4 linked regions of the Struthio camelus genome follow. The protein of the gene in region 1 interacts with the protein of each later gene in a pairwise test. Links are inferred from orthologs where the notes say so. Each region holds a gene or a part of one and is shown on either strand. Other genes may lie near its edges.

What was found.
Region 2: the proteins of TRIM63 (region 1) and TNNT1 interact in a two-hybrid assay, tested with the Homo sapiens proteins (2 studies listed by BioGRID and IntAct). The link is inferred for Struthio camelus from reciprocal best matches to the Homo sapiens genes TRIM63 and TNNT1.
Region 3: the proteins of TRIM63 (region 1) and GMEB1 interact in a two-hybrid assay, tested with the Homo sapiens proteins (2 studies listed by BioGRID and IntAct). The link is inferred for Struthio camelus from reciprocal best matches to the Homo sapiens genes TRIM63 and GMEB1.
Region 4: the proteins of TRIM63 (region 1) and MYOZ1 interact in a two-hybrid assay, tested with the Homo sapiens proteins (2 studies listed by BioGRID and IntAct). The link is inferred for Struthio camelus from reciprocal best matches to the Homo sapiens genes TRIM63 and MYOZ1.

What each region holds. Positions count from the first base shown.
Region 1 is NC_090964.1:7,165,885-7,173,773, reverse strand, and holds the start of TRIM63 (E3 ubiquitin-protein ligase TRIM63), read right to left. Parts: upstream 3,017-7,889; 5' UTR 2,248-3,016; coding exon 1,651-2,247; intron 1,327-1,650; coding exon 1,160-1,326; intron 1-1,159. Other genes in the region: serine/threonine-protein kinase PDIK1L, read left to right, coding at 6,618-6,902. UniProt on the Homo sapiens protein: E3 ubiquitin ligase. Mediates the ubiquitination and subsequent proteasomal degradation of CKM, GMEB1 and HIBADH.
Region 2 is NW_027182594.1:268,165-275,309, reverse strand, and holds the start of TNNT1 (troponin T, slow skeletal muscle), read left to right. Parts: upstream 1-4,142; coding exon 4,143-4,170; intron 4,171-5,274; coding exon 5,275-5,401; intron 5,402-5,836; coding exon 5,837-5,883; intron 5,884-6,855; coding exon 6,856-6,903; intron 6,904-7,145. Other genes in the region: histone-lysine N-methyltransferase KMT5C, read left to right, coding at 1,553-1,572, 1,676-1,812, 3,049-3,580. UniProt on the Homo sapiens protein: Troponin T is the tropomyosin-binding subunit of troponin, the thin filament regulatory complex which confers calcium-sensitivity to striated muscle actomyosin ATPase activity.
Region 3 is NC_090964.1:6,168,075-6,175,519, forward strand, and holds the start of GMEB1 (glucocorticoid modulatory element-binding protein 1), read left to right. Parts: upstream 1-4,443; 5' UTR 4,444-4,554; intron 4,555-5,338; exon of another isoform or gene 5,339-6,194; intron 6,195-6,578; 5' UTR 6,579-6,639; coding exon 6,640-6,767; intron 6,768-7,445. Other genes in the region: uncharacterized protein, read left to right, coding at 1,049-1,354, 1,657-1,761, 1,982-2,338. UniProt on the Homo sapiens protein: Trans-acting factor that binds to glucocorticoid modulatory elements (GME) present in the TAT (tyrosine aminotransferase) promoter and increases sensitivity to low concentrations of glucocorticoids. Also binds to the transferrin receptor promoter.
Region 4 is NC_090948.1:24,694,166-24,701,077, reverse strand, and holds the start of MYOZ1 (myozenin-1), read left to right. Parts: upstream 1-3,903; 5' UTR 3,904-4,121; intron 4,122-6,219; 5' UTR 6,220-6,245; coding exon 6,246-6,321; intron 6,322-6,912. UniProt on the Homo sapiens protein: Myozenins may serve as intracellular binding proteins involved in linking Z-disk proteins such as alpha-actinin, gamma-filamin, TCAP/telethonin, LDB3/ZASP and localizing calcineurin signaling to the sarcomere.

The sequences.
Region 1 (7,889 bases):
GTGCGGCGGTCAGCGCCTCGGGTGCCCTGGGTCGGGGGCACCGGGGCCACGGGCCAGGGATGCTGCGCAACAGCCTAATTTTAGACCCGTGGTGGTGTAATGTAGTATTATCGCAGACCCGAGACGAACGCTCGCCCTCTGCTCCTTGCGGCGAACGCGTGACTTGGCCAGGGGAGCCCCAGGCGCCGCGGGGGCAGCTGAAACACGGCCCCCCCTCCTCCCCGGCGGCTTTTAGCCAATTTGCCCCTTCCGCGAGCAGCGTGACGGTGGCTGGAGACCCGGCCAGGCGAACTGAAGCCACCTGCTCGTGCCCCTTTAGGACAGCCGACCCCACCGAACCGAAACCCGGGGGATTTCACCCCAAAGCCAGGGGTGCAACGAGCTCGCCGAGCCACGGCCGCCCGGGGGGGCCCGCGGGGCGCTCCGCTGCCCGGGCGCCTTCCCTGCTGCGCAAACTCCGATGCCGGAGATGTTTGTCGTCTGACATCTGTCACCGTCCCCATGGCTGGCGAATAATATTTACAGTGATTCAGTGGATTTGGGAGCGGGTTCCCGTCGGCTCCCGTTTTGGGAGCAGCCGTTGCGCCGGGGCTTGCTCTCACCCTCTTCTTTCTCCTTTATAAATAGATTTAGCCCCTTCCTGCCTCGATAAGCCGTGACCTCTCGCTGTCCTTCCCCTTCCCCCTCCGAGCCGCCGGCACATTTGCACCCCAGCTGGGTCCCTTCCCCTGAGCAACATGAGCCTTTGCTTTTTCCAGCCCCTGAGCAAGATCCTCCCCCTGAAACCGTCCCTCCGTCCCTTATCAGCCGGCAATTCCCAGCTCTCGCAAGCGGAGCCGGTATTTGTCCCGCGCGCCCCTTATCTCCGCCTGAAACCTCTATCTGCAAAACGCCAGGCGTTAAGGACAGGACGGGTCCCGCTGTCGTTCGCCGCCGAAGGACCCGCTGCCCTCCGCGGCGGCACGAAAGCCCTGGGAGATCAGCCCTCCCCGAGGGACAGCGCTCGCGACTTTACTGCTCTTGGTGTCGGAACGAAAACGTTCCAGCTGCGCTATCGGGAGGAAGAGACCGGGGATGGCAAGCGGCAAGCAAGCGGAAAGGACCCACGGTTTCCAGCAAAGGTGCAATCTCCTAAAGGACAAACGGCTCTCGGGCTCACCTGCAGCACTCCTGCTTGTAGATGTCGATGATGTTCTCCACCAGCAGGTTCCTCTGCAGCCCGTAGACGCCGTGGCGGTCCAGGAGCACCTCGTGGCGGCAGGACGGGCACCGGAAACGGCCCCCCGAGATGACGCTGCCCCGACTCTGCCAGTACGGGTTGGCGGCCTGCAAGGAGAGCCGTGTCAGGGTCCCCCGGCCGGGGACACCGGGGGGTCCCGTGGCACCTGTGAGCATCCTCGCGGCGTCCTCCCCCGGCCCGCTGAGCCGTCCCTACGCTCGGCGCCCCGGTGGGGACCTCTCATGGCCTGGCCACCTCCACCACCAACCTCTTCGTGCCCGAAACCAGCCTCCCGCGCTGCCCGCGACGGAAAGCTCCGCTGTGCAGGGGACAAACCATGAGCCCGAGGGCTTCTCGGGGTCAGCCGAGTGCTGGCTGAGGACCGGCCCCGGCCGCCGGCGGCTTTGGGGACGCCTTGCCACGGCGCTCACCTGGAAGACGTCGTTGGCGCACTTGCGGCAGAGGTTGTGCTGGCAGGGCAGGATCACCACGGGCTTGGTGAACATCTCCAGGCAGATGGGGCAGATGAGCTGCTTCTCCAGGTTCTCCATGGGGCTGCCGTCCCGGATGATGCCGGGCTGGTAATCCATGGGGCCGGCCAAGGGCGGCCAGAAGCGTCGCTGCTCCTCTGCCGGCGCCGACGGGGCGACGGGCGGCGCTGAGCTCCCGCAGCTCGGCTGCAGCCACCCGCCTTTGCCTGCCGCTCCGGCCGCGCGGCTATTTATAATTCGCGCTGCGGTCACGCGGAGGGACAATATTGGCAGCGGGTCGAGTTTCCCACCCATCACATGGGAGTGAGCAATCGCCGGGCCGAGCGGGAGGCCGGGCTGTAAACAGGGCTCGGGACGGCCTGTCCGCACCCGCGCTGCCGGGGGGCTTAGCGTCTCCCGGGACAAAGAAACCGGAGCCGGGGCCGTCAGCGCAGTCACGCTTCGCCCAGGTGCAAGCGGCCCAAGGGCCGACGAGGCCGGACACGCCGCCGGCACGGCCCCCGGGGCGCCGGGCTGCTTCGGCCTCGCGCTCCTCATCCCGCCCGGCGCCACGTGGGCACCTCGCTTTGGGGCTTCGCGGGTGCCCGAGCCCGTCCGGCCCGTCCCCGGCAGCGTCGTGCCCCCGGCCGAGCCCCGTTCCCGCGGCCGCCGACCTGCTTCGTCCAGTTTATTCAAGCAGAAAAATCGCTCTCGTCCCCCCCCCCCGCCCCAAATTCGGGCAGCGCTGAGCTCTGGCCGACCGGATGCGACCGCGGGGCTGCGGGGCGGGAGGGCGATGACTCGGGGCTGGGAAAGCCCCCGGCCGCATAGCAGCGACTCATCCGGGCACCAAAAAAGCCCCCACGACCCAGGCCCGGCACGTGGGAGGCTGAAGCATCCCGAACGCGCCCGGGGCGCCCGGCCACCACGAGAACAGGCTGCGGCGTGCGGGTTTCCCCCGGGCGACGGGCATCAGCCAGCGGCTGGGGCTTTTCACACCCGCTCTCTGCCGGGACGGGACCCAGGAGCGATAAGAAAAGCCGCTCCGGCGGGTCCCCATCCCGGCACCGAGCGACGCTGCTCGTTCCAGTCGTGCCTGGCCGAGACGGGGACAAAAGCAGCCGGTGCCGGGGCGCACCTTCGCCCTCGTCCCGCGGCCCCGGCTAACCCCGCGCCTCCCTTGCGAAACCCGAGCCAGGAAAGGCTCCGAGGCGAGCAGCGGGGCGGCGGGCCGAGGCCGGGCCCCTTCCGCGAGAGCTGCTGCAGGCGACGGGGGTTAAGAAAAAAATAAAATCAAGCCGCCGGCTCACGTGGGCCGGGGTGGCATCTGCGAGCCGCGGCGATAAACAGGTTGTGATGCCCAGCTCCCGCGGCGGTCCGCAGGGAGACCTGTAAATGTTGGCAGCCGAGAGGGGACAGCGGGTTAATTATAGCGCGGTGGGCGCGGGTGGCGCTGGCACCCGGCCTCGCACGGCGGCCGCTGGCCGGACCCAGCCGCGTTTGGGGCCGGTGGCAGCGAGGGGGGTGGCGTGCCATTAATTAACTAATTGCTTCTGGACTCGGTTAAGGGGATTCGCGGCACCGGCTGGGTTGGTTGTACCCTAATCGGCTTCAAACCCGCCGCTGGCCTGCAAGGGGCTCGTCGGCTCCTAATTGGCTTGGGGGGGATCAGGGAAGATGGCGACGGGCTAATCACCGCCAGGCTGATTAGTAATTAATATGGGGGTGAAAGCGGGGGACGGTGCACGGCTGGCGGGAAGAGCTGCCTCCACGGCACCGCGGGTTTGGGGCCGGCGCGGAGCCCCGCTCCAAGGGGAACCTCTGCCCCTCGGCCGGCCCCGGCCCTTTTCCCAAACGGATCCGCGACGGCCACGCGCCCTCTGGTGCCGCGGGAACGTGGCTCCCTGCAGGCCAGGGTGGCCAGAGCCCACGTCCTCGATTTGGAGCTGGGGTGAAGCAAATCTGCCGCTCCAGCGTGAGTTTGCAGCCCCTCGAACTTGCAACCCCCTCCCCTTTTTAAGTTGCAACCTCCCCGCCCCGAGGCTGCTCCCCCGGCCAGGCCGACGCTGCGAGGGGCCGGAGGTGCGAGGCCGCAGCAGACCGTGCAGCGCGTTTGCACCCAGTCTGATGGTGCAGGAAAGGAGGATGTTGCCCGTGTCGCCGGAGGGACTCGTGCGCAGCGAGGGGCCGAGGCTGCAGGGTGCTGCGGGCCTGCCGCCATGCGAAGGGTCACGCCGCGGCCTCCCGTTCTCCGTGCAGCGCCGGCACTGCTGCTGTACGGAAAAGCACCACCAGGCCTGGCGCTCCGGAGGAACGGAGGAGAGGAAGGGACCTGGCACGACGCCAGAGCGCACCAAAAGGCGCGAGGCTCCCTGGCGAGGGAAGGCTCCATATTTTTCTCTTAAGCGAAAAAAAAAAAAAAAAGCCGATAAAACAGAATAAAATAAATAAGAGCAGCGCTGACAGCCGCCGAGCGGCGGGGCGAACGGAGGAGCGCACGGGAAAAAAAAGCAGCCGCGCGGGAAGGAGCGCACGTGGCAGGCGGCGCGCGCGTTCCCGCCCCGCCGCGAGGGGGCGCGCGCGCGCGCTGCCGCCGCCGGCCAATCAGGAGGTGGGGCGGTGGGGGGGGCGGAACGCGGCGGTGGGGGGGCGGGGCGACGTCTGGGGGGCGTGGCGACGTCGGGGGGCGGGGCGACGGCGGCCGGAGGGGGGAGGGGGTGTGTCGGCGGCGGCGCGGCGGGGGGAGCCCTATAATGGCGGCCGGGCGGCGGGAGCGCGGCGGCTGCGGCGGCGGTGCTGAGGTAACGCGGTGCCCGGGGCGGAGGGAGCGCGGCGCTGGCGGCTCCGGGGCGTCACAGTGAGGGACTGAAGCTCCGAGCTTGGGCCCGGCTCCGCCTCCGGCGCTGCCCTGAGCGGGGGCCCCGGCACCTGCTGCGCGGCCCGGCCGGGCCCTCGGGGTGAGCGCGGCCGCGGGGAGCCCGCGGGGCCTGGCGGGGGGGGAGCGGTGTGGAAAACGGGCGAAACCGCCTTAATTCCTTCCCCGGAGTGACCTCCCCTGGGCGCTGGTGGGGTCCCTGCGTGGCTGCTGCTTGTGGGGCCTCCCTGGTGGTGCTGGGTGGAGGGGAAAGGTGACTTGTTTTATTCTGTAATTGTTATTTTTGACAAGGCAGCCGGGGAGCAGAGACGCTTCATCTGTGTGGTGCCTGCCTGGGCCCGGCAGCGGGGCCAGGCCTGGTGCTTGCTGCCCCTGTCCTGCTGCTGGCCTGATGGGTTGGCGTGAGCAGGCATTGCTTCCCCTTGCCTTGCCCTGTGACCCCCCCCCCCCCCCAGTGACATTCCCGGCCTGGGCCAGGCTGCTGTGGGAGTGTGGCCCTCCTGGTGAGGGTGGGTGGCTGCCCTGGCAGTGTGATGGAGCCCCCCTGGTGACAGCGTGCACCTACCTGGCCAGAGACGGGGCCTGTCTCCCGCTCATGCTGGACCTGGTGCGGTAGTGTCCGAGTAGCACCGTCATTTCCTTAGATTTGGCCGTCCTTGAGGTTATGGATCCTGCTTTCCTCCCCTGCTTGGGAGGTGTTACTGGCCCATTGGGTCTTCCCCTTCAGACCATCATCTGTTCCTCCTAGCCTTGTTACAGGCGCAGGTGCGATGCCTCCTGCGACCTGCATCTCGCACAGTGAATTCCTTGCTCACGCCAGTTGCAGTTCAGGTGTTACAGTAAATGTTCACTGCAAAACTCTCCTGAAAGGGTCTAAACATCTGCATCGATGGTGTCCTGAGGCTGGTAATACCTGTGTCTGTCTTCCTACTGGGAAAACTAGAAGGCTCCCTCTGACAAGGGGCTGTTTCGATGTGGTCCTTAGTGCCTGGTTACTGACAGAAGGAGAGTTACACCTATCACTAGCAATCTTTAAAAAAAAAAAAAAATTTTAGTTCTCATCTACTAATTGTGATCTTTCTTTCTTTCTTACATTTAGTTCTGTCTGACCGGTGATGTTTGGCTAGCCAAACCTTTTTTTTTCCCTGTCTGTAGTCAGTGTCTCATTCTGGTTTGTTTATATGAAGGTGATGTTGTGTTTTGGTTTGTAAACTTGCAGAGAAGTGTGTAGAGAGGCTCATAAGTTTGTGGCACTGTTTTTTTGTTTGTTTGTCTCTCTTGTTTTGTTTATAGAACAATATATTAGTTTTTGTTGAAATCCTTGCCCTGTTCAGCAAAACTGAAGTTGAGATACTGAGTAAAAGCTTCTGTAATCAGTTGCCCTCTTTAACTCTTTGGAACCTTAAACTGATTATTCAGAGGCGCCTGGGTAAAAAAAGCATAGTAACAATTGGAGGAAAAAAAAAAAGTAGGTGTTCTGAAGCATCCTCTTCTTCTAGTATCCAGAAAAGATTTTTGTAGTTAAATTATAATAGAAAATGTTTACCTATCCTGTCACCTCCTTAAAAGGAAGTTTCAAATTAAATCTGCTATTGCCTAACCATAACTTTCAACTAAACCTCTTCTCTGATATCCCAGGCATGGGTTGAGCATGATACTGTGCTATTACATGCACAGATAGAGCAAAAGATACTGAGAGAAAACAGCAAGAGAATATGTGATAATCCCATCTCAAGTACAAGTCTAGGTCTGAATTGCTGCATTCTTGAAAACTGGCCTGATTTGCAATCTTAGTAGTCTGACTGAAATGATAGAACTTCTCTTAACTGCTCCTTAGCAACAGGTATGGGTTTACAAAGTAGGTTCTAGGATATTCTAGCACTCGAATGTGGTGTTATGAGATGTTACGTTCAGGGGCAGTGCCCTAATAATTGAAGGCCTACTGTCGCTACACCAAGTCACATAGGGAAAACGCAAATTAGTAGTTGTTCACAAGTTTTAGTTCTATGGGTTTTTTCCCCTTCCCCCTTCCCCAGAACCTTTGATCTTGAAGATGGTGAGTAGCCAGCCTAAGTACGATCTAATACGGGAGGTTGGCCGTGGCAGTTATGGTGTGGTGTACGAAGCAGTCGTCAGGAAGACCTCCGCACGGGTTGCGGTGAAAAAGATTCGCTGCCATGCTCCAGAGAACGTGGAACTAGCTCTGCGTGAGTTCTGGGCGCTTAGCAGTATCAAGAGCCAACATCCCAACGTCATTCATCTGGAGGAGTGCATCTTGCAGAAAGATGGTATGGTGCAGAAGATGTCCCATGGCTCCAGTTCCTCCCTTTATTTACAGGTACATGAAGCTGAGGTAATGGGGTGGGAGTAACAACATATACCTGTAGCTGGGAGGGAAGGAGGTGGGTAGCTAAGAATTTTTTTTTTTTAAAGATATGCTTAGTTAAGAGAGACTATATGCACTGCTGACATCCAAAAATTATTTTAGATCTTTAGAAGAACATACTTATCAAACTATCACCTGTATCTTCTATTTGGAAGCTGTGCCACTCCAGATTTTTTTTAATGCAAATCTGCTTTGATAATTTGGGGAAAGGGCACAGATAACGCACAACGGAGATACAGGCTGTTGTGAACAGGTATTTATGGACGTCTTGAGACGATGCTCTGAAAGATTCCTTAATCTGAGGTGTCCTTGGAAGAAGAAGTAACTGTCTCGATTCAGGAAACCAGCACTTAAAACTTGTTCAGAAGTAATAATAAGGAATTGCTAGAGTACAGTGAGCTGTTTTGATTTCTTTTCTGAGTAAATAATCTCCTCAAAGAGGAGTAAAGGTCTAGTATATGATAAATAACGGAACAGAGGAATAAATATCACTTTCCCCAATGTGGCTATTGAAGGTGTCTTCTTAAGTTGCCTTCAAGTTAGAAGACATACTATAGATCAATAAACAAGTAGCTTTGAAGAACCCTGAAAGATCATCCAGTTCCTTCCCTTGTCAAGAAGCTGGCTCAACTCTAAAACATTCCCTCACAGAAGCTTGCCTATCTGGTTTTAAAAGTCAATAGCTTACTAAATGTTTATTGTATTATCTCTAGTCAGTTTTTATCATTTTAGCTTTTGTTGTTGTTGTTCTTGCATGTCTAACATAGGACTTTTTTCTTTTCTTTTTTTAATCGAATGTTCATGTGATAACACTGCATGGTTATCTAGATCCCACTGTACTGGAAGCTGTACAAGCCTGAGAGAGCATTCTTGCCTTTGTAAACTGTCTGTAACTCAGTAGTTGTTGCTGACCTGCTTTCATGCAGGGATTAGAGTAAA
Region 2 (7,145 bases), on another chromosome or scaffold:
CCCCCGGCCACCCCCCAGGGCCCCCCCGGGACCCCCAACAGCCCCCCCCGGGACCCCCAGCCACCCCCCAGGGCCCCCCCCGGACCCCCGGCCACCCCCCAGCTGTCCCCGGGACCCCCAACAGCCCCCCCGGGACCCCCGGCCACCCCCCAGGGCCACCCCTGGGACCCCCGGGACCCCCGGCCACCCCCCAGGGCCCCCCCCGGGACCCCCGGCCACCTCCCAGGGCCCCCCCCGGACCCCCGGCCACCCCCCAGCTGCCCCCGGGACCCCCAACAGCCCCCCCGGGACCCCCGGCCACCCCCCAGCTGCTCCTGGGACCCCCAACAGCCCCCCCCAGGGCCCCCCTGGGACCCCCGGCCACCCCCCAGCTGCCCCCGGGACCCCCAACAGCCCCCCCAGGACCCCCGGCCACCTCCCAGCTGCCCCTGGGACCCCCAACAGCCCCCCAGGGCCCCCCTGGGACCCCCGGCCACCTCCCAGCTGCCCCTGGGACCCCCAACAGCCCCCCCTGGGACCCCCGGCCACCCCCCAGGGCCCCCCCAGACCCCCAGCCACCCCCCAGCTGTTCCCGGGACCCCCAACAGCCCCCCCGGGACCCCCGGCCACCCCCCAGCTGTCCCCGGAACCCCCAACAGCCCCCCTGGGACCCCCAGCAGCCTCCCAGCTGTCCCCAGGGCCCCCTGGGACCCCCAACAGCCCCCCGGGACCCCCGGCCACCCACAGCTGTCCCCAGGGCCCCCTGGGACCCCCCAACAGCCCCCCCAAGGCCCCTGACAGGACCCCTGGCCACCCCCAGCAGCCTCCCAGGGACCCCCAGCAGCCTCCCAGCTGTTCTCAGGCCCCCTGGGACCCCAACAGCCCCCCCCAGGGCCCCCCGGTGGGACCCCTAACAGCCCCCCAGGGCCCCCCCCAGGACCCCCGGCCACTTCCCAACAGCCCCCCAGCTGCCCCTGGGACCCCCAATGGCCCCTCCAGGGTCCCTTGCGTGACCCCCAGCCATCCCCTAGGACCCCCAGCAGCCCCCCCCAGCTTTCACCAGGCTCCCCAACAGCCCCTCAGGGCCCCCAGCAGACCCCCCCATTACCCCCAGGACCCCCCAACAGCCCCCCAACTGTCCCCAGAGCCCCTGACGACCCCCCAGCAGACCACCCAGGGCCCCCAGCGAGACCCCTAACCACCCCCTAGGCCCCCAACAGCCACCTGGGACACCCCCAATGGCCCCCCAGGAGCCCCCCGTTGCTGCCTGGGGCCCCTGGCTGCCCCCCGACTCCTCCCCAGGACCCCGACCAGAGCCCTGATCGCTCCTGGGACCCCAACCGGTCCGATGGCCAAACCTGGGGGCCCCCAACCCTCTCCTGACCCTCCCGGACCCCTAACCAGACCCCTGCTTGTCCTCGGGACCCCCAACTGGATCCCTGACCACCCCCCGGGGCCCCCGACCACCCCCGGGACCCCCCCCGGGACGCCCCGACCCCCCCCCGTGCCTGGGGCTCCGGGGCCGGCGGGCGCCGCGAGCCGCTGCTGACGGCGACTTCTCCGCTCTCCGCAGACTGCCGGCCCAACTGCAAGGTAAGGGCGCCCGGACGCCGGGGCCCCTCGGGGCGGCGGCGGCGGGGGGGAGGGCCGGGGGGTGCCCGGACGCCGGGGCCCCCCGCGGCTGACGTGCGCCCAGTTCGTGCCCACGGAGGGGAACGCGGCCTGCGTGAAGGTGCTGCGGGACATCGAGCCGCAGGACGAGATCACCTGCTTCTACGGCGAGAGCTTCTTCGGGGAGAACAACGAGCTCTGCGAGTGCCGCACCTGCGAGAGGTGGGCGGGGCCTGCTGGGGCGGGGCCCGAGGGGCGGGGCCTGCTGGGGCGGGGCCCGAGGGGCGGGGCCTGCTGTGGTTCCCCCCTCCCCCCCAGGCGCTGTCCAGGGTGCTGTGGGTCCCCAGCTGCCAGGGTCCCCAGGGGCACCTCGGGGGGGTTCAGCGTGGGGTGCAGTAGGGCCCCCCGGACGCCTGGGCCCCCCCGGATGCCTGGGTTCCCGGGTTCAGTGCGGGGTGCAGTAGGGCCCCCCCGGACGCCTGGGCCCCCCCGGACGCCTGGGTTCCCGGGTTCAGTGCGGGGTGCAGTAGGGCCCCCCCGGACGCCTGGGCCCCCCCCTGAACGCCTGGGTCCCCAGGTTCAGTGCGGGGAGCAGTAGGGCCCCCCGGCCGCCTGGGTCCCCCGGCCGCCTGGGTCCCCGGGTTCAGTGCGGGGTGCAGTAGGGCCCCCCCCGGACGCCTGGGCCCCCCCCGGACGCCTGGGTCCCCGGGACACCTGGGTCTTCGGGTTCAGGGTGGGGTGCAGTAGGGTCCCCAGGACTCCTGGGCCCCCCCCGAACACCTGGGTCCCCAGGTTCAGTGCAGGGAGCAGTAGGGTGCCCCGGCTGCCTGGGCCCCCCGGCTGCCTGGGTCCCCCGGCCGCCTGGGTCCCCGGGTTCAGTGCGGGGTGCAGTAGGGCCCCCCGGACGCCTGGGCCCCCCGAACGCCTGGGTCCCCAGGTTCAGTGCGGGGAGCAGTAGGGTCCCCCGGCCGCCTGGGCCCCCCGGACACCTGGGTCCCCCGAACGCCTGGGTCCCCGGGTTCAGTGCGGGGTGCAGTAGGGCCCCCCGGACGCCTGGGCCCCCCGAACGCCTGGGTCCCCGGGTTCAGTGCGGGGTGCAGTAGGGTCCCCCGGACGCCTGGGCCCCCCGGCCGCCTGGGCCCCCGGGTTCAGTGCGGGGAGCAGTAGGGCCCCCCGGCCGCCTGGGCCCCCCGGACACCTGGGACCCCCGAACGCCTGGGTCCCCGGGTTCAGTGCGGGGTGCAGTAGGGCCCCCCGGACGCCTGGGCCCCCCGGACACCTGGGACCCCCGAACGCCTGGGTCCCCGGGTTCAGTGCGGGGAGCAGTAGGGCCCCCCGGACGCCTGGGCCCCCCGGACGCCTGGGTCCCCGGGTTCAGTGCGGGGTGCAGTAGGGCCCCCCGGACGCCTGGGCCCCCCGGCCGCCTGGGCCCCGCTCTGAGGCGCCTCTCTCCCGCAGGAAGGGCGAGGGCGCGTTCCGGCTGCGGAGGAAGGAGCCGGCGCAGCAGCCGCCGCCGCCGCCGCCCCCCAAGTACCAGCTGCGGGAGACGGACGGGCGCCTGCAGCGGGCGCGGGGGGGCCGGGGAGGGGGTCCGGCCCGGCGCTGCTGCTGCCGCCGCCGCCGCCGCCGCCCGCGCGGCCCGGCCCCCCCCGGCCCCCCCGCGCCGCCGCAGCCCCGCGTCGCCCTGCACGACTGCGCCGGCTGCCGGGGCCGCTGCCGCCTGCGCCGGGAGCCCCGCGTGCGCCTGGCCCGGCTGCCCCCCCCCGCCGCCCCCCGCCCCCCCGCCGACCCCAAGCTCGCCCTCTTCGCCCACGTGCGCCTGGGCCCGCTGGGGGGCCGGGGGGGGGCCGGGGGGGGCGCCGCGCCGGCCCCGCTCCCCCCCCCGCCGCCCCCCAAGCGCCCGGCGGCCTTCGGGGCCGCCCGCCGCTTCCGCCTGGTCGTCAGCCACGGCGCCATCGCCCTGGACGTGGCCGCCCACGACTCCGCCTGAGCCCCCCCCGGGGGGGGGCACCCCTTTCTGCTGTTGTTTTCTACCTTTCGGGGGGGGGGGTTTGTACGGAGCGGGGTGGGGGGGGCGCGTCACACACCTACCTCATGGGGGGGCCCCCGACAGCGCCGGACTCCTGGGCCCCCCCGGGAGGGAGGGTCGGGACCCTCCTTGGGGCGGGGGGGGTGATTCCTCCCTCTTCCCCCCCCCGGTGGGGCAGAGCTGGGGGGGGGTTGGTGCTACACTGGGGGCTGGGGGGGGGCATGAGGTTTTGGAGCAAAATCACTTTTTTAAATTGAAATAAAGACAAAAATAGGAACGAGCCGCTTCTGGTCTGCGGTCGGGGCAGCTGCGTCCTCGTCCGGGGGGGCAGACGGGGTTGCTGCCCCCCCCCCCCGCACCACCGGACACCTGGGTCCGCTTCAGTGCGGTGTTTTGGGGCAAAAGAGCAAGAAAACGGAGTCTGGAGACCAGCTTCTGCCTGGGCCCCGCAGGCGGGTGCGGGGGGACCCAGGCGTCCGGGCCCCCCCCCGCCCCCGCAGCCATCCTGGAACAAAGGGCAGGAATGTCCCCGACAGGTGGCGGGGACAGAGGTGACATCAAAGGACAGGAATAGGACCCAGGCATCCGGGCCCCCCCCCGGCCTTTGTTCTCCCCCTGTGGCCTTCCAAAGATGGGGAGCGGGCCCAGGCGTCCGGGGGCCCCGCTGTCCCCTGGGGCCCAGGCGTCCGGGCTGCCTCCGCTCCACCCTGCTGCCCCGGGGGGACCCAGGCGTCCGGGGGCCCCGCTGTCCCCCGGGGCCCAGGCGTCCGGGCTGCCTCCGCTCCGCCCTGCTGCCCCGGGGGGACCCAGGCGTCCGGGGGCCCCGCTGTCCCCTGGGGCCCAGGCGTCCGGGCTGCCTCCGCTCCGCCCTGCTGCCCCGGGGGGACCCAGGCGTCCGGGGGCCCCGCTGTCCCCTGGGGCCCAGGCGTCCGGGCTGCCTCCGCTCCGCCCCGCGGGCTCTGCTGCCCTGGGGGGACCCAGGCGTCCGGGGGCCCCGCTGTCCCCCGGGGCCCAGGCGTCCGGGCTGCCTCCGCTCCGCCCTGCTGCCCCGGGGGGACCCAGGCGTCCGGGGGCCCCGCTGTCCCCCGGGGCCCAGGCGTCCGGGCTGCCTCCGCTCCGCCCTGCTGCCCCGGGGGGACCCAGGCGTCCGGGGGCCCCGCTGTCCCCCGGGGCCCAGGCGTCCGGGCTGCCTCCGCTCCGCCCTGCTGCCCCGGGGGGACCCAGGCGTCCGGGGGCCCCGCTGTCCCCTGGGGCCCAGGCGTCCGGGCTGCCTCCGCTCCGCCCCGCGGGCTCTGCTGCCCCGGGGGGACCCAGGCGTCCGGGGGCCCCGCTGTCCCCTGGGGCCCAGGCGTCCGGGCTGCCTCCGCTCTGCCCTGCTGCCCCGGGGGGACCCAGGCGTCCGGGGGCCCCGCCGCCCCCCGGGGCCCAGGCGTCCGGGCTGCCTCCGCTCCGCCCTGCTGCCCTAGGGGGGACCCAGGCGTCCGGGGGCCCCGCTGTCCCCTGGGGCCCAGGCGTCCGGGGGCCCCGCTGTCCCCTGGGGCCCAGGCGTCCGGGCCCCCCAGCTATGTTTAGCCCCGACAGCTGCGGGGTGTCGGGTGTCGGTGACATTTCGGAGGCATTTTGGGAACAATGAGCTCGGGCCGTTGTTGGGCCAGGGGGTCCCGGGGGGCCCGGGGGGGGGGCGTCACGCGGGGGCGGGACGAGCCCCCATAAAGGGACCCCGGGGTGGGGGGGCGGCGACGCCGGCAGAGCCCCGAGAGCGACCGGACGAGGGAGACACCGGTGCCGGGGGGGCGCTGGGGGCTATGGGGGGTCTCGGGGGGCTATAGGGGAGATGGGGGCTATAGGGGGTGTAACGGGGGGTTATAGAGGATGACGGGCTATAGGGGAGATGCAGCTATAAGGGAGACGAGGGTATGGGCAGTAATGAGCGTTATAGGGGGTGATGAAGGGCTATAGGGGCTAATGGGGGCTATAGGGGGTGATGGGGGCTATGGGGCTAATTGGGGGCTATAGGGGCTAATGGGGGCTATAGGGGGTGATGGGAGCTATGGGGGAAGATGCAGCTATAGGGGAACATGGAGAGCTACAGGGCAGACGGGGCTATAGGGGCTAATGGGGGGCTATAGGGGGAGATGAGGGCTATAGGGGAGATGGGGGCTATAGGGGACGGGGGTCGCCCCCCCGCTCTCCTGACCCCCCCCAAAATCCGCCCAGGCGCCGCCAACCGCAGCCATGTCTGAGGCCGAGGAGGAGTACGAGGAGTGAGTGACCCCGGACGCCTGGGCCCCCCGGACGCCTGGGCCCCCGCCCCAGTCCCAAACTGGGGCCAGAGTCCCCCCAGTACTCCCCATTGCCCCTGTACTGGGATGGGCCCCCCCCCATACTGGAACTGGGACCCTCGTACTGGGATGGAGCTTCCCTTACTGGGACCAGGCCCCCCCCAGTGTCCCCTAGACTGGTCTAGCCCCCCCCCCCATACTGGTCTGCCCGTCCCTGTATTGATCTGGGCTCCCCCCATACTGGGATCAGGGTCCCCAGTGCCGCCGTACTGGGATCAGGACCTCCCCATACTGGTCTGGGCCCCCTCCACTGGTGTCCCCCCCCCCATACTGGTCTGGGCCCCCCCCCATACTGGTCTGGGCCCCCCACCATACTGGTGCCCCCCCCATACTGGTCTGGGCCCCCCACCATACTGGTGCCCCACATACTGGTCTGCCCCCCCATACTGGTTTCCTCCCCCCATACTGGTCTGGGCCCCCCACCATACTGGTGCCCCCCCCTTACTGGTCTGGGTCCCCCCATACTGGTTTCATCCCCCCATACTGGTGCCCCCCCTCACCCCTCTCCTTCCCCCCCCAGGGAGCAGCCCGAAGGTGAGTGACCCCCCCCCCGCAGCTCGTTAGCTAACGAAGGCCCCGGCTCGTCGGCCGCCCCCTAACGAACTGGGGGGGGGGGCTGAGCCTGGGGACCCCATTACCCCCCCCATAATTAAACCCCCTTAATAAACTCCTCTTAACTAACTCTGCCTTAATTAACCCCCCCCCAAGTGGCTCATTAACCACGGGTGTTAATCAACCTCTCTGCTAACGAAGCGGGGCCTTGGCTGCGGTTTGTTAATGGTTAATGAGGGTATCGGGGGGGGTCACTAATGAGATCTGGGGTGTTAATTAACATTAACGGCCGGGGGGGTCGGGGGGGTCCCTAACTCTGACCCCCCCCCCCGCGCCCCCCAGAGGAGGAGCAGCCCGAGGAGGAGCAGCCCGAGGAAGAGGAGGAGGAAGGTCAGTTGGATGGGACCCCCCCGACCCCCCCCAGACCCCCCGGGACCCCCCGAAACCCCAGGACCCCCCCAAAGTCCCTGGGACCCCCCAGACCCCCTGGGACCCCCTGAAACCCCAGGACCCCCCCAAAATCCCCAGACCCCCCAGAGCCCCTGGGACCCCCCCGAAACCCCAGGACCCCCCCCAGAGCCCCTGGGACCCCCCCAAACCCCCTGAGACTCCCCAAAACCTCAGGACCCCCC
Region 3 (7,445 bases), about 1.0 Mb from region 1:
GGAGACCCTCGTTGCTGCGGGCCTTGTGGAGGAGCGAGAGGAGAGCGGCACCGCCGCCTCCAGCCTCACCAGTGACCAGCACCCGGTGAGTGAGGGCAGCCCCCGGCGCACAGCCCCTCGCTGGCCCCTGCGGGGACACCTGCGTCTGGGGCAGAGCCACCCATCCCAAAGCACAGGATCCCCACTCACGTCCCAGCCTGGCCGAGCTCAATCCCAAAAGGCGAGAGCCGCTGAGAAGCACCTGGGAGGAGCGCTTGTGCAAAGGCTGCCTTCCAAGGAGGTCCTCCAAACCTCCTGTTGGAGCAGGGGCTGCGTCCAGCAGGCTGCGAGCACCAGCAAGATGGCTCCAGCAGCCCTGCGTTGCCTCCTCCCTCCCCCTCCCAGACCCACCAGCCTCCCTCAAGGTCCCTTCCCCTCCGCAGCTGATCTCCTGCCTCTCTGAGCCGTTCTCTTTTCCACCCGTGTCCCCAAAGGTCCAGGAGAGCCTCGACGCAGAGGTCCCCCCTGCTCAGGCACCTGGGGTGCCTTCTGGCGAAGAAGATGGTGAGACGGGTAAGCCCCGAGTTGCCTGGGTGCACCGGGAGCAAGGCCGACAGGACGGGGGCACGGAGGGGTGCTGGGCTGAGCCGAGCAGCTGGCAGCAAAGGGCATCTCCTCCTGGAGATCCCCGGAGAGCTGGGGGCAGCTGGGGCAGACCTGTAAGGAGGTCTCTGGAGGCTGCCGTCGAGGCAGCCCATGGGCACACGGGTCAGGAACGGGAAGCCCTGTGGAGCCTCAGCAAGGCCGTGCTGCCCTGCTGCTGGTGTTTTCCTGCCTGCTCCAGCCCTTCGGGAACCTCTGCAGCACTCGGAGAGCGTAGGGTAGGCAACGGCTGGGCTTGCCAGCATCACCGCTCAGTCGCTCTCTCCTCTTCTCCCGTCTTCCGGCTTGTCCCCATGTCCCAGAACCTCCTGCAGCAGAAGAGCAGCCCACGGAGCCAAGCAGCGATGAGGTTATAGATGCGGCCGTGAGATACATCTCCAAATACGTGAAGGACCTGGCCGCCTACATGGACCAAGCCATCTCTCGGGGTAGGCAGCCGAGGGTGGAGGGTGAGGTCTTGGGCCCAGCGGGACCGGGCCAGGCAACAGGGGGCTCTCAGGGAGGAAAGCGGGGCTGGCACGAGCAGGGGTCAAAGTCTGCGCCCCTCCTCCTGTCCTGGAGGGGTCTGTCAGAGGGAACCCACTCAGCAGGGAAGTCCTTGAGGGCGTGGAGGCCTGTTTTCACCTTCTGCTTGTGTCTGCCAGAAATGGAGCTTGCCAAAGGGCTGCAATCATTAGCCAGTGCCTTCAAGAAGACTAGCACTCACGAAGAGGTAAGCTGGCGGAGACGGGCAGCCCCAAAGCTCTCCCCACAACCCCCAGCGCCCTGCTTCCTGGGCTCCCGCGCCAGCTGCCTGACAGGGCCTGGGCGCTGCCACCTTCTGCACACCTCCTGCCTGCCTCCCAGCACTCTCCTTGCAGCCTGCCACTACCCGGTCCCAGCCAGGCCTGGGCTTTGCCGGTAGCGGCCAGGCAAGCCGAGCCACTCGCTCTTCTCTCACCTTGAAGGAAGCACCTGCCTGCTCCCTGCCTGGTCGTGTTCGCTCTCAGCCACGTGTGTTTTCTCCTTTCTCAGCCCTCGGTGCCAACCCCGGAGACTCCTGCGCCATCTCTCGAAGATGATGTAGCTGAAGGGGAAGGCCATCACCCCGATGTGGAGCAGCAAAAGCAATGCCTTCAGGTAGGAGAGCTGCCCAGGACAGACTCTTGCCCCCTTCCCACACAGGGATGCTCGTGCACGTGCACGTGCACGTGCACGTGCAGGCACAGTCCTCACCCACACCACTGGGTGCAGAGTGGCTCCGGTCAGCCGGAAGGAAATGCTGGCCATCTCCCTGCTCCCTGGCAGCCTGCTGCTCCAGCCACGCTCAGCCTTGGCTCTGCCTCTCTCCCTGCTTCAGGCCCTTGGGGAAACTCTCCTCGTTAACCAGCAGCTGCTAGAGAAGATGGAGCAGCAGTGGCAGCAGGCTGAAAGGCAGCTGGTAAGTAACACGGAGTCTCCACGTTCGCTGGCCTGCTGCTCCCCGAGCCAGCCCCGAGGCTCACCGACACGCCAATGGCCTGGCAGATGCATCTCCCCGCTGTTCTCCTGGGGCACGGGAGCAGCGCGCCGGCAGCAAAGCAAAGAGCCTTCACCAACCCGGTCCCAGCGGAGGTGCTCTGCAGGCCAAAGCTCAGAGCTCTTCCCCTCCTCTTCATCCTTGCTCTTCCCCGTGGATCCTCACTCGTCTTCTTTGCTAGCAAAAGGAAAAGGCTGAGCTCTTCTGCCTGCCGTGCTGCGAGGACACGGAGCACAAGGAGAAGGAAGAGGCAGCCGAAGACGAGCAGCTGAGTGCCTGCAGCACCCCCAGCTCTGGCCTGCGCTGCTGGAGGATGGAGATGAGCAGACGGTGAGAGCAGAGCTGCTCTGGACGGCAGCCGCGCACGGAGCCTGCTCGGGGCTGCCCTTAGCCTGCGTCCAGATGCGCTGCCCCAGCCCAGCCAGGCCTGCCTCTCTCCCCAGGACACGTGCCCGGAGCGCTCTGCCGGCGCCCTCAAGCACCCGCCGCCCCTCTTGCTGCCCCGGCACGGCCTTACTTAGCCCACGCCCCTCTGGCGATGGAGCTCACCACTGGTGCTCCGCTGCCATGGAGGAGAGCCGGGGGCACAGCCGGGGCCTTTGTGCTGCAGCTCTGCTGGGAGGGAGGGCTGGCTTGTCCTGGCAGTGAGTGCCCAGGGCAGATCCCCAGCTGATCGCAACGCAGAGCGCTGGGCAGCAGCGCAGGCAGTTGGCTCCGTGGGCAGAGAGCTCGTCCTTGTGCCCTCTGAGCTCTTTCCCTTGCCTCCTCTCCCTCCTCGCAGCTTACAGAGCACACGGCAGCTCCTGCAGCCTGCAGCCTGGATGAGGGTTCTTGCCAGGCTGCCAGCAGTAACAGCCTAAGGAAGGGCATCACCCTCACGACGTGCCACACACGCAACCAAGAGGTATTCTTCGGGGGAGTCCCGGGCAGGGACATAAGTTGGGAGCTGGCCCGCAGGGGGGAACAGAGCGAAGCGAAGCCCTGCGAGCAGGGCGACCCCTCGCACTCTACCGGCCTGCGGGTGCCACCTTCTCCCACACCTCTGGTCCAGCATAACCTCAGCTGTGAGCCCTCTGGTCGGCAGTAGGGGACTGTGGCATGAAGAAGTTGTGTCCCTGGGCTGTCAAGAGGCCTCTTTTAGGCACCAAGCCAAGCACTCACATGCGCAGAGCTGGCCCTACAATGGTCGCCAGCAAGAACTGGAGTCCCAGCGAAAGCTGCTAACGTGTGCTTTGGGGCAGGTCTTCCCCAGCCCTCACGTGCACCCAGGAAGACCCCTGCTGCTGCTGCTGCTGCTGCTGCTGCTGCTGCTTTGGTCTTCATGGTGCTCTCTCTCTTGTGTTCTCTTTCTCCTCAAAACTGGAGCAAGGTGAGCAGGGCAGAGCTCGAGATCGAGCAGGAGTCGAGATCGCCAGGCAAGTTCTGCAGAGAAAGAAGCAGCAATCAGACTCTGATGCTTCTGCCCATGCAGACACAACCGCCATCCCGGCGACCATCATCCCTGCCCGCCCGCTGGTGCCTGCACACCAAGACTAACGTGACATCTCGACTCCCCTGGACCCCGTTAGACTCCCAGGTCACCAAGCCTGGCTGGGAACGCTCTGTGCCACGCTGGGGACCAGATGACGACCCCATTTGTGTCCTCTCTCCCCTTTCCCTCTCCACTGCTGCTGCTGGAGGCCCTGCCCGTACCTGGGGACGGAGGCAGTCTGGGCAGCTGCCAGCAGAGAGCAGCTTTCCTGGAAGCGAGGAACTATCGGGCTCCTCTGCGGCCTTCACGCCGCTGCGAGCCGAGGCCGAGAGCCCACGGGGCTGCCGGGGAGGAGGCCGGGGCAGCCCGAAGCCGCGGGCTCGCCTGGGGGCGCCAGGCCTCCCCGTCCTCAGGCGGAAAGAAGGGGACAGAGCCGTCCTCGCGGGCACCTGCCGCTCGCCCAAGTCGCCTGCCCAGCACCCCCCTTGCGCTAAGGGCAATAAACCGATGCCGTTGAGTTGTCGTGTGCCGCGATGATGCGTCGAGAGCGGGGCGCTGGGCGACGGCAGCGCGGGCGGGCCGCAGCCGGGCCGCAGAGCCACCGGCGCCGGCAGGAGCTGGGGCAGCACCCCGGGGTGGGAGTGGGTGGGTGGGTGGAGGGAAGGAAGTAAAGAAGGAAGGAAGCTGCTACCACCAGCCCACCCCGAGGCCCGGTACCCCCCGCAGCCCCCTCCCCGGGGCGGCGATGCCACCGGCCGCCCGCAGGGGGCAGCAGGGCGCCGCGCCCAGGCCTAGGCCGCGGCGGCGCCTTTAAGGCAGGCGGCGGCCGGAAGTGCTGGCGGCCGAGGCCAGCGCGGCGACTGCGCATGCTCAGTGCTGCCCGGCCCGCTTCGCCCTCCCCCTCCCCCTTCTCTCAGCCCCCGGACTCGGCCGCTCGGCGACGGTAAGGGCCGGCCGGCGCCGCGCTACGGGAGCCGGGAGGGGCCAGGCGGCGCGGCGGCGCGCGGGCGGGGCGGGGCGGGGCGGGCAGGGGGGCCCGGCCCGGCCCGCGAGGGGAGGGGGCGCCCCAGCGCGCGCCGCCGTACGTGCCGCCGCCGCGAGGGCGGACGTCGCGCGCCGCGGGGGGGGGGCCGAGCCGCTGCGTCCGCCCGCGGCGGGGGGGGAGGGGAGGGGAGGCCCCGCCCCTCCCCCGGGCAGCCCCGCCCTTCGGCGCCGGCCGGGGGGGGGGGCCGCGCGCCGGGGGGGGGCCCGCTCCTTCCCCCCCGCCGTGACCCTTGACCTCGGGGGCTGCCCGCGGGGGGGCGCGGCGCCCTTTGCCCCCGCCGCGCTGACCTCTGACCCCATCGCCTTCCTCCCCGCCGAGGGGCCGGCAGCGGCGGCCTGGCCGGGGGGCCGGCGACCCCCGATTGGGGGACCTGGCGTGGGGGGCCCCGGGCAGAGGAGACCGGCGCCTGCAGCCCCCCCCCGGCCCCGGCGCGGCCCCCCCCGCGCCGAAACGCCGAGCGAGCGCCGCCTTCTGCTGTGACTGGAGCGGCCGTGGCCGGGGGCCGCGGCCCAGGGTCCCTCCCGCCGGCCGGCGGCTCGCGGGGAGCTGCGCTGCGGCCGCTGTGAAGCCCGCAGCCCTGCCTCGCCGCGGGGCCGCCCGGCGGCGCGCCCCAGCCCGGAGCGAGGGCGCCGGGCAAGCGGCTCCTGTCGTCTCCTGCAGCCGGCGGGGCAGGGGCGGTCCCGGGAGCCGGCCCCCGGCCCCCCTTGCTTTTGCCAGAACGCCTTCCTGGTGCCAGACGGGAGCGTCCCGGGGGCCCGAGCGCGCGCTGGCCTCCGCCGGGCCTTTCCACGCCTCCGCCGCAACGAGCCGTGCCTCGCGCTTCAGCTCGGCCGGAGCCGCGCTCCAGTTGAGGCCGCGGCGGGAGCTCGGCCGCTGAGAAACCCTGCCTGCGCCCAGCCTCGAACGCAGCCGCCGCGGCCCCGTCGGCCCTGCGGAGAGGGACAATTAACAGTGCGGAGGCGCGTGCGGAGGCCGGTGCAGATGTCAGGAGGCTCTGAGCAAAAGGCGTCTCCCAGCACGCAGGCTTGGAGGCGCAGAGCATTGGGCATCGCGTAGAGGCAGATGAGGAACAAACTGGGGAGGGGTTCGAAACCCAAGAGGGTAATCTGGAACGGCGCTTGGAACGTAGCACTGAATTATTGTGGAGTGATGTGTTTCTCCTCTTCCCACACTCTTCATTCCCCCGCTCACAAAATCACCTTGGCGCTTTCCTGCGTAGCGGTAGGAAGCGGTCCCCCACAGCGCAGCAAATATCCCTGCGGGAAAACACTGCAAGGACCTTCTGCGTCGCTGCGTCTCGCTCCACCTCTGGCACGAGGAATACACACTTCTCTGCAGCTTGTGCGCAGCAGAAGGGCTCTGTCCCCGGCCCCTTGGCGGTGCTGAAAGATGACAGCATCACGCTGCCGCCTGGAAGGGTTCCCGCCTAGGGGCAGAAGCTCTCGCTTAGAAACCTGCCTCCCTGCGCTGTTGTGGCTCTTGCCAAAACCTAGCGTGTGGCTTTGCTTGGCCGGCACCGAGTCTGCAGGGCTGGGCTGGTAAGCTGCAGAGCCCCCCAAAAGACGCTGTGTTATCGGCCGTTAAAGTTATTAGAGGGATGGCATTGTGGGCAAGTGTGTGTGTCATGTTTGTATCATCGGATCAGATGTTCCCAGCTATCGTGATCGACAGGCGAGGAGAAATCCTCTCTGGAGAGAACGGGGGTATTGACAGATACCTGCTGTCTCTCTTTCGTGGTGAATTTACAATAATGCCTGGTTCCGTCTCGCAAGTCTGAGAGCTGCTCCGTGAAGCCCGCAGTGCCTGCGAGTCCGGAGCCGCTGCGTTTGCCGCGGCGGGGCTCTCGGGGACGATGCTTACAAAGCGTCCCTGTTCCCCGCCGGCGCATAGGCAGCGGTGGTCTGGTTCTTCCCGCGGCACAGCTCTGCCTCTGCTTGTCCGCTGCAGCACCGTGGTACCCAGCGACCGGCCTTCATGTGAGAGATGGCGAATGCCGAAGTGAGCGTCCCTGTGGGTGATGTGGTGGTCGTACCAAGTGAGGGAAACGAAGGGGAGAACCCGGAGGATACCAAAACCCAAGTGATCTTACAGCTCCAGCCGGTGCAGCAAGGGTGAGTGGTACACGTACTGCTGTGTCTGGGAGATGCCTGGCGGAGTGGGGGGGAGGCTGCATCTGGCAGCGTTGTGTGATGTGGGGACCGAGTGGTGCTGTGTTTTGCAGCAGGGTGAGGTTTTTGTCTGTTTTGATTTGCGCACGATAAAGGGAGAGAGAAAAATAAAACTGCCGGAAACCTCCCCAACGAGAACTTAAAATAGCTGTTGTGCGTCGCTGGCGTGGGGCTTCCGAGGACTGGGATCCTTCTGTGGAGATGTGTCCCCGCGATACCGTATCTGCATTTTGCAACGTACACAGCCACCCGCCAGCCAACGTGGCCGTGGATGCGGGGAAGCGGCTAGACAGGCGCTGGGCGGAAGCGGGCCAAGGTGTGCGGTCAGCGGTGCTGCCCCGGCCACGCGTTCCCCCGGGCTTCCTTTTGCTGCTCCCTCTCCGTCCTCAGGGTGGCTTTTTGCAATATTGCAGCTGTTTCACGTGGTGATCTGTGCCACGCACAGGGCGACAGCTTGTGATTGTGCATTCATATCTGCATATGCTTCTGTGCCTGCTTTTGTAGATCCTGATTGAAAACACAATGAAGCAGGGAGGTTAGAGGGAATTGTTTTGTGATGCTCTGAACTGGCAGCTGTTACGGAAGGTGGCTGCCACCAGGCATTTCATCTTATATCTGTAT
Region 4 (6,912 bases), on another chromosome or scaffold:
TGGGAGGTTTGCAGCAGCTTGGAGGGGATTCCTGGGTGGTGGAGTGTGGGGCATGCAGGCAAAGAGGCCGTCCAGTGAGGAACATGCCTGAGGCACACCAGCTGTTTCAACATCTGCCCCCCCCCAGCTCTGTGATCAAATCCTACACGTTTCTGCCCAAGCCCTACATCTCACTGTGCATTAAGCGCCCTTAGCAGCAGGGGAGAGCCTGGTGTTAACTGTCTACTTCTCCCCTTGTGTCGCTACAACAAATTACTGACAAATCTTCTTCATGTCTTCGTAAAGGTGGAAGAAATTAAAACATATATGAACTATTTCAAAATAATAAAGCCCTTCTAGCATCTTCCCCTCCTTTTTTCTCCCCCTCCCCACTCTCTTCCTGAGGGGGAAAAAAGCCAAAGCAGGAGTTTTGCAACTTTTTTTCAGAACAGATCCAATTGGTGTGGAGATCTGCAGCCTGTGAATACTTTCAGCTTGTGCTAGTCCTGGGCTCCAGGGAAAACAGGGAACAGGGTCAAGGTTTAACTCTGTACCTTTGGAAAATGAAATTATTTGCCAGACTGACTCTGTTTGCCTGATTTTCACGTGATCAAAGAGTGCTCAGGAAACACCCATACTGAGGACTCCCTGTCTTAGCTACTATTTATGTCCACCCAGCACTGTGTGACAAGACAGATCTCATCTGCTGCTCTTAAAATGATTTTGGAAACATCAATTATTTGAAATTGTATATTTTGAATTGAAATTAGGTGCCCTGAGAGTCAGGAAAAAAATTGTGAAAACACAGGTCAGAGAAAGCAAAGCTTTGTGCAGGCTGTTCCTAAGGCCATTTAAGTGAAGGGTATATTTGGAAAGAGGAAGGTTGGCACAGTGAGATAGAGTTCCTTGTATGATTAAACCTCCTCCCTGAAGTGCTGAAATGTCCTGCAGGCAGCACATGTACTATCCTTGCTGACCTAAGTGGGAACTCCATGTACTCAAGCATGGATTGAATTTAGCCCTTAAAATCTCACTAGAGTCCAGGAAGGAAAAAAAAAAAAAAAAGAAAGGGCAGCTCAACAAGCCAGGCTTGTAATGATTTCAAACCCTGAGTAGCATGAGTGGGTGCGATAATAGTAAGAGCCCTCCATTACCTCTTTTCCATGCTGATTTCATCCTACTACAGAAGGCAGAGACATCAAATGGGAACAATATTCCCAGTGGTAAAAGCCATTGAGCTGCTAAGCCTGGCATTGTGGCAGGATATTTATAAATGAAATCAGTCTTTCTCTGCTAGACACACAAGCGACATTTCTAGATTATTGAACTGCACTTTTCTATCTCTCAGGAGAAACCGCCCATAGAGAGGAGAAAGGAGCAGGATTTAGTTCTTAAACAGGCAACTGAAAATGGAGACATCATTTTGTTTGAAGATAGAGAAGGAGGTGAAAGTCTCACCAGGACACCCAGGTCCTTCTCTGCAGAGCTGCTTTCCAGCAGGTCAGCCCCCAGCCTGTCCTGGTGCACAGGGTTATTCCTCCCTAGGTGCAAGACTCTGCACTTGCCTTTGTTGAACTTCATGAGGTTCCTCTCCGCCCAACTCTCCAGCCTGCCCAGGTCTCTCTGCATGGCAGCACAGCCCTTGGGTGTATCAGCCACTCCTCCCAGTTTAGTATCATCAGCAAACTTGCTGAGGGTGCACTCTGTCCCTTCATCCAGACCATCAATGCAGCTCACCCTGTGTATGGATATATGCACATGCAGATAGAAATAACCTCGAGGATCAGGGTTGCAAGGACAGAATGGGATTTCACATAGCACAGAATGAGAGCTACATATCACCTTTCAAATTGGAGCTGGCCACAGTTTCTCCAGGGATCAGAGCCTGACAACAGCCACAGGCACAACAACAACACTGAAAAGCCAGGACAACGGACTGGCCTAGACCTTGTATTTTGCTACTGCAGTTTCTGAGGAATCCAATGACTGGCCTAGGGACCTAAATGCTATCCATCAGCATCTAAGCAATAAAAGTCTCCTCGCTCGATCTTTTCCGCCTCAATCTCCTGTTCCTGAGCTCTGGATAAAGACTTTGCCCTGTGGTCTCTACTCCCAGTTTCTTCTTTCCTCTCCCTGCTCAGCCTGGCTCTTGCTTCCAGTTCCTCACCACCCTGTCCGCCTCTCACTCAAGACCTTGACTTGGCATACAAGGGGAGTACCTCATTAGGAGAGCATCACGGGGTATGAACAGCATCCCAAAGAGCACCACTGGATTTCCAAAGCAGGCACTGGTCACCTTGAGCAAATACCCAGCATGGTCCTCAATCACCCCAAGAGAAATAAATGTGGTGAAAAAATATTCCTTGGCCTGCAGTGAGGAGGATTTGGCCAACACTGAGAGCTTATTCTTCTGTGACCACCTGCACTTGCGCAGAGTGCGTGTGAAGTGCGGACAGATGATCAGCTGCGATGGTATTTGACACCCACCAGTTTTGTGCAGATGTAAATGCCCTCACCAGGCGTGAGGCTCTGTGATGGTGCCCACCGCGGAGAGTAGGTATTTACAGTTCAGTTGTGCCATCCCCCACACCTGTTTTACACTGGCACAGCTCCATGGGGCTACTCCCAGATTACCAGCTTCCAGCAAATTGCTACAGTGGTAGGAAGAGGGGAGAATAAGGGCTATGCCATAGGCACAATGTAATGTATATGCAGTGACCATGTGGATGGAAGCAAGAAGGAAACAGGAAACTTGAGGCCAGGAGATTGCCATACATTCCCTAGCTCCAAGTCACAGGGATAAAAGATGATTATTATCCATAGCTCTCCACCTCCTATCCACAGCTACAGGTTATAGCACTCTTATAAAGGACTATCCAAACAGCACTGGGGGGGTTAATGCCTTGTGATTGCAACGCACCAGTCAGACTGGGAAGTTTTATACTCTGCTGGTGCAGGCAAACACAACTGTGCAAAGTATACGAGAAAGGGAAAGTGACTGTTTCCCGATGATCCTTTATATCAAGTGTACTTGCAAGCCTCTGTGCAGATGATTCTCTGCTACAATCACAGCTTTGTTTTTTTTCCCACTAGACTCTATGTTTACTCAGTAGACAGCTTGGTTGGGCTCTGATGTGAAATAGGAAAGGACATGATTCTCTGTAGGATTCCTGCTGTATGTAGAAGCTTAAAAGTTTGTGCATCTTAGAGTATTTCAGTAAAATGAGTTAACTTTCCTTCCTCCTAGAAGCAGAACCCAGTTTGGTACGGGGAGAAAAACAGGTAGCGTCGCTTCAGAATGAGCAGTGGCTAAAGTAGAGGAATCATTTACACGCACAAAGCTACACTAAATGCAGTCAATCAACCCTATTTCTGCCATGAATCAGGAAATGAGTCTCCTTGCTGCTTGATTCTGTTGGGTTTCTTACCCACATTACACAGCTACTTCCTATAACTCTGTAAATGTGTTTTTCCTACTAGTTCTTGTTTCATGGGTGTGATTATTTTTATTCTGTGCTCTCTGACGTATTTTTTGAATCCCTGGCATTTTAGGAATTAATATGAGAGCTTGGAGGAAGTTGGGTTGAATGATGGAGTGAGGAGGAGGCGGAGGGAGGGTGTAGAAAAGAGCAAGACCTGAGAGAGTTCTTGAGGCATTACTGAGAAATAGGAGATTGAGGAGGTATTACTGAAGTGCAATAGGAGGAGGGAGAGGAACGGCAAGTTGATTGGAACAGAAGGGAAGGAGCAATGCACTTATGCAGAAAAGGGTGCCCAGTCTTCCTGGGAACGGAGGCGGTGACTGCAGGAGGCCTGAGGTGCAACCTTTTCCTCTCCCCTTTCCTCCGGGCTGGTGGTGGTGCTATCTGAGACCCTGCTCTCTGGGCTGTCAGCTATTAATAACTGCAGGATGCCTGTGCGAGCAGCCTTCAGGAGTCAAATTCACAGCACTCCACATCAGCACTTTGCGCCGGGCAGAGCCTGCCTGCACCCCGGCACCCTGGGTGAGCGGGGCTGCTGGACAAGCCTCCCCGCAGCGCCCAAAGGTGGGCTGGGAGGACGCTGCCCACACACTGCCAGCCTGCTGCCGAGCCCTGGGGCAGGCGCGTGAGCTGGTCTGAGCCTGGCACTACAAGCCTAAGGTAAGCTGACCTGGCAGCAAAACAGTTTGGAGCAGGGGCTGAAGAGGGTAAAGATTGGTTTGGTTTGCAGCAAAGCCAACGAAATGACTGCTGCAAAGACTGAAGCAGAAAAAGACAGAGGAATTACACCAAGGGATAGAGCTGATGGGAGAAAAGGGGAATTGTGGTCCTGGTCCTATGCACGAGAGAGTGGGGAGCAAGGGGACTGAGGCTCCAGCAGCCTCGCTGCTGTGGGGTGACAGATCGAACAGCGGTCCAACCGTGGCTCTGAGCCCCATCCATAGTGAAAGGCTGCTGCCCCACTCCTTATGCTAGACTGATTACGTGTGCTCCCTGATCCTGCTGGAGCAGCAAAGGACAGCAGAGCGGGACAAACCCGCCCTCGCTGCTCCTTGGGAATGAGCGTGCTGGAGGGGCACAGCTCCCTAACTGGGCCAGCCCGCCCTGCCTGCCCCAGGGAGTCCATGTCTGGGGGCGCAGACGTTTTCCCTCCATCTGCCACTCTTATGACCCATCAAATGAGCCATAAACTCCCTGAAACTCCTTCCCCCCATGTCTCCTGGCAGCATTGCCCTTTTCCTGTCAAGCAGGGCCTGCTTCTTTTATATAGCCAAGCAGATGTCCGGCTGCTCGAGGAGAATGCATGGCGTGTGCTTTATGGCTGCACCTGCTCACACTTGCTTTGGGAATACACCAGGATGAGCTCTTTTATGATGTGAACCACATAGGCAGCATCTCAATAAAAAATCAAACTTGGAAATCAGAAAGAAAGTCTTATCCAAGAGAATATCTGCCAATGTAATTGGGTCTGGTTTCATCTGGCCAGGCTGCTTTCAGCAGCTGTCACCATCTCTCAAAATCATGTTCTAAAAGGAGCAATGGTGGAAGAAAACTGTAGAATATTTGGAAAATAAAAACGTCTTGATCACAACAAGGGCAGCGTACACAGTCCTAGAGCCAGTTTGCCTGCTAGTTTTAAAAAATAACTCACAGCTAATAACATCTGTTTTGAAGCTCTGAGCAACTAAAGGTGTAAAGAGGCACAGCGACAGAGATGGTTAGTTACTCTCTGCTATTGCTGAACCCAATGGAAGTTTGGTCATTTATTAGGTGAGGATCTGTCTCCTTACATACTGTCATTTGGCAAGGACAGTGCAAAAATGAAGACATCAGCCCGACTTGCATTATGTGTGATAACCCCCAAGAAGGACTACGAGAACCTGCCCGAAGTAAAATTGCTGGGATTTCTCCTAACTTTTCCCAACTTAGCAGTACAGGTCTCTCATCCTACCTGGGGATAGAGATGGGAAACAGTGTAAGAGAAGAAATCTCCCTCTTCCTCTCCTTCTCCCTCCAAAATGACATGCAATAGGATGAATACATAAAATGCAGGTGTAAGTGACTTCAAACAACTTGCACCAACAACTCTAACAGGCCTGTGCCTTCTTCCTCCAGCCCTTTGTAATATATCATCAACAGTCATAAAAGAGAATGACATAGGGTTTTGTTTTTTGCATAACTTGCAGTCTGATAGGTTTCTGAGAAGCAATTCCAGTTCTAACAGAACTATCCAAATATCCAAACCAAGTATGGACATTATTCAAAATGTTCCCACATAGCTCGTGGGCAGACCCAACATCTTTATGTAAGAATATGTATTACTACCTAACGATATCCAAATGGCATTACAATGATGTTAAGTCATGACCGAGGAATTTTTCAAACTGACATTCTGCACTGCAGCACAACATGACAACATAGTACCATCATGGCATACACAGGTGCCGGGAGGCTGCAGTGCTGCAATTATACTGTCTATTCTGGGTGGCAACGCTATGTGGTAGTGAAGCAATGCTTCTTCTGTAATCTGTTACCATATTTTGTGCCTTAACACGAAGTCTCCACAGAGCCCCACAACGGCCTAATGCTGATATTCTGTCTGAGATGATACTGTTTACTAGCTCCTTTATGTGAGAGAGATGGAAAAGAATCTGCATGTGAAATGAAGATCCTGTGTCTCTTAACTGTAGAGGGAAACTAAAAGAGGGGCAAGAGACCTTTCCAGTGTTTCATTCTCCATTTCCTTCTGTGTGTTTAGAGCAAAGCAGAGAACCCTTTGTGGGAATGCCCCTAGCAGGGACTCCTGCTCCTGTTAAAAGAAAAAAGTCCACTAAACTCATTGGGAAGCTGACACACGAAGGTAAGATATGTAAACTGCATATATGAGAACTGTTTGGATTTCAACCTGAATTTCAGCCTTTAAAATCTCACACCCTATCCAGCTGAGCTCCCAGAGAAAGGTATGCAGTGAACACACCAGGAGGCAGGGCCACCATTGCAAAAGCTCAGCCTCTAACGACATCATATGTCATAATTTTCTTTTCAAAAGTGTTGCATACACACTCAAGTCAAATTCTAGTCTGGATTACACTTTCTAAACCCACTGTCTCCTGTGGCATTAATCTGGATGCATACCAGTGTGAATGGAAAGATAATACGATAATTTATAGATATCAATATTGCTGCGTCTAGTTATGCTCTGTGCTGATCTTTTCTCTCATCACCTTTGTCCTTCATTTGGTTTTCCTCTGTGTGAGAGCATTCCTTTGATTCCAGCACTCACTAGTGGGAAAAGTCAAATTTTCTCAGTGGGGCTAATACAGCAGGAGGGATGTAACATGGGACCCTTTTCCTTCTACAGAGTACATGCATATAGGGTGAGCTTTAATCAGCCGTGACAGCCTCATCTTCTCCCTTTGACAGCATGGCACATACTTGCAGCAATTTTGAA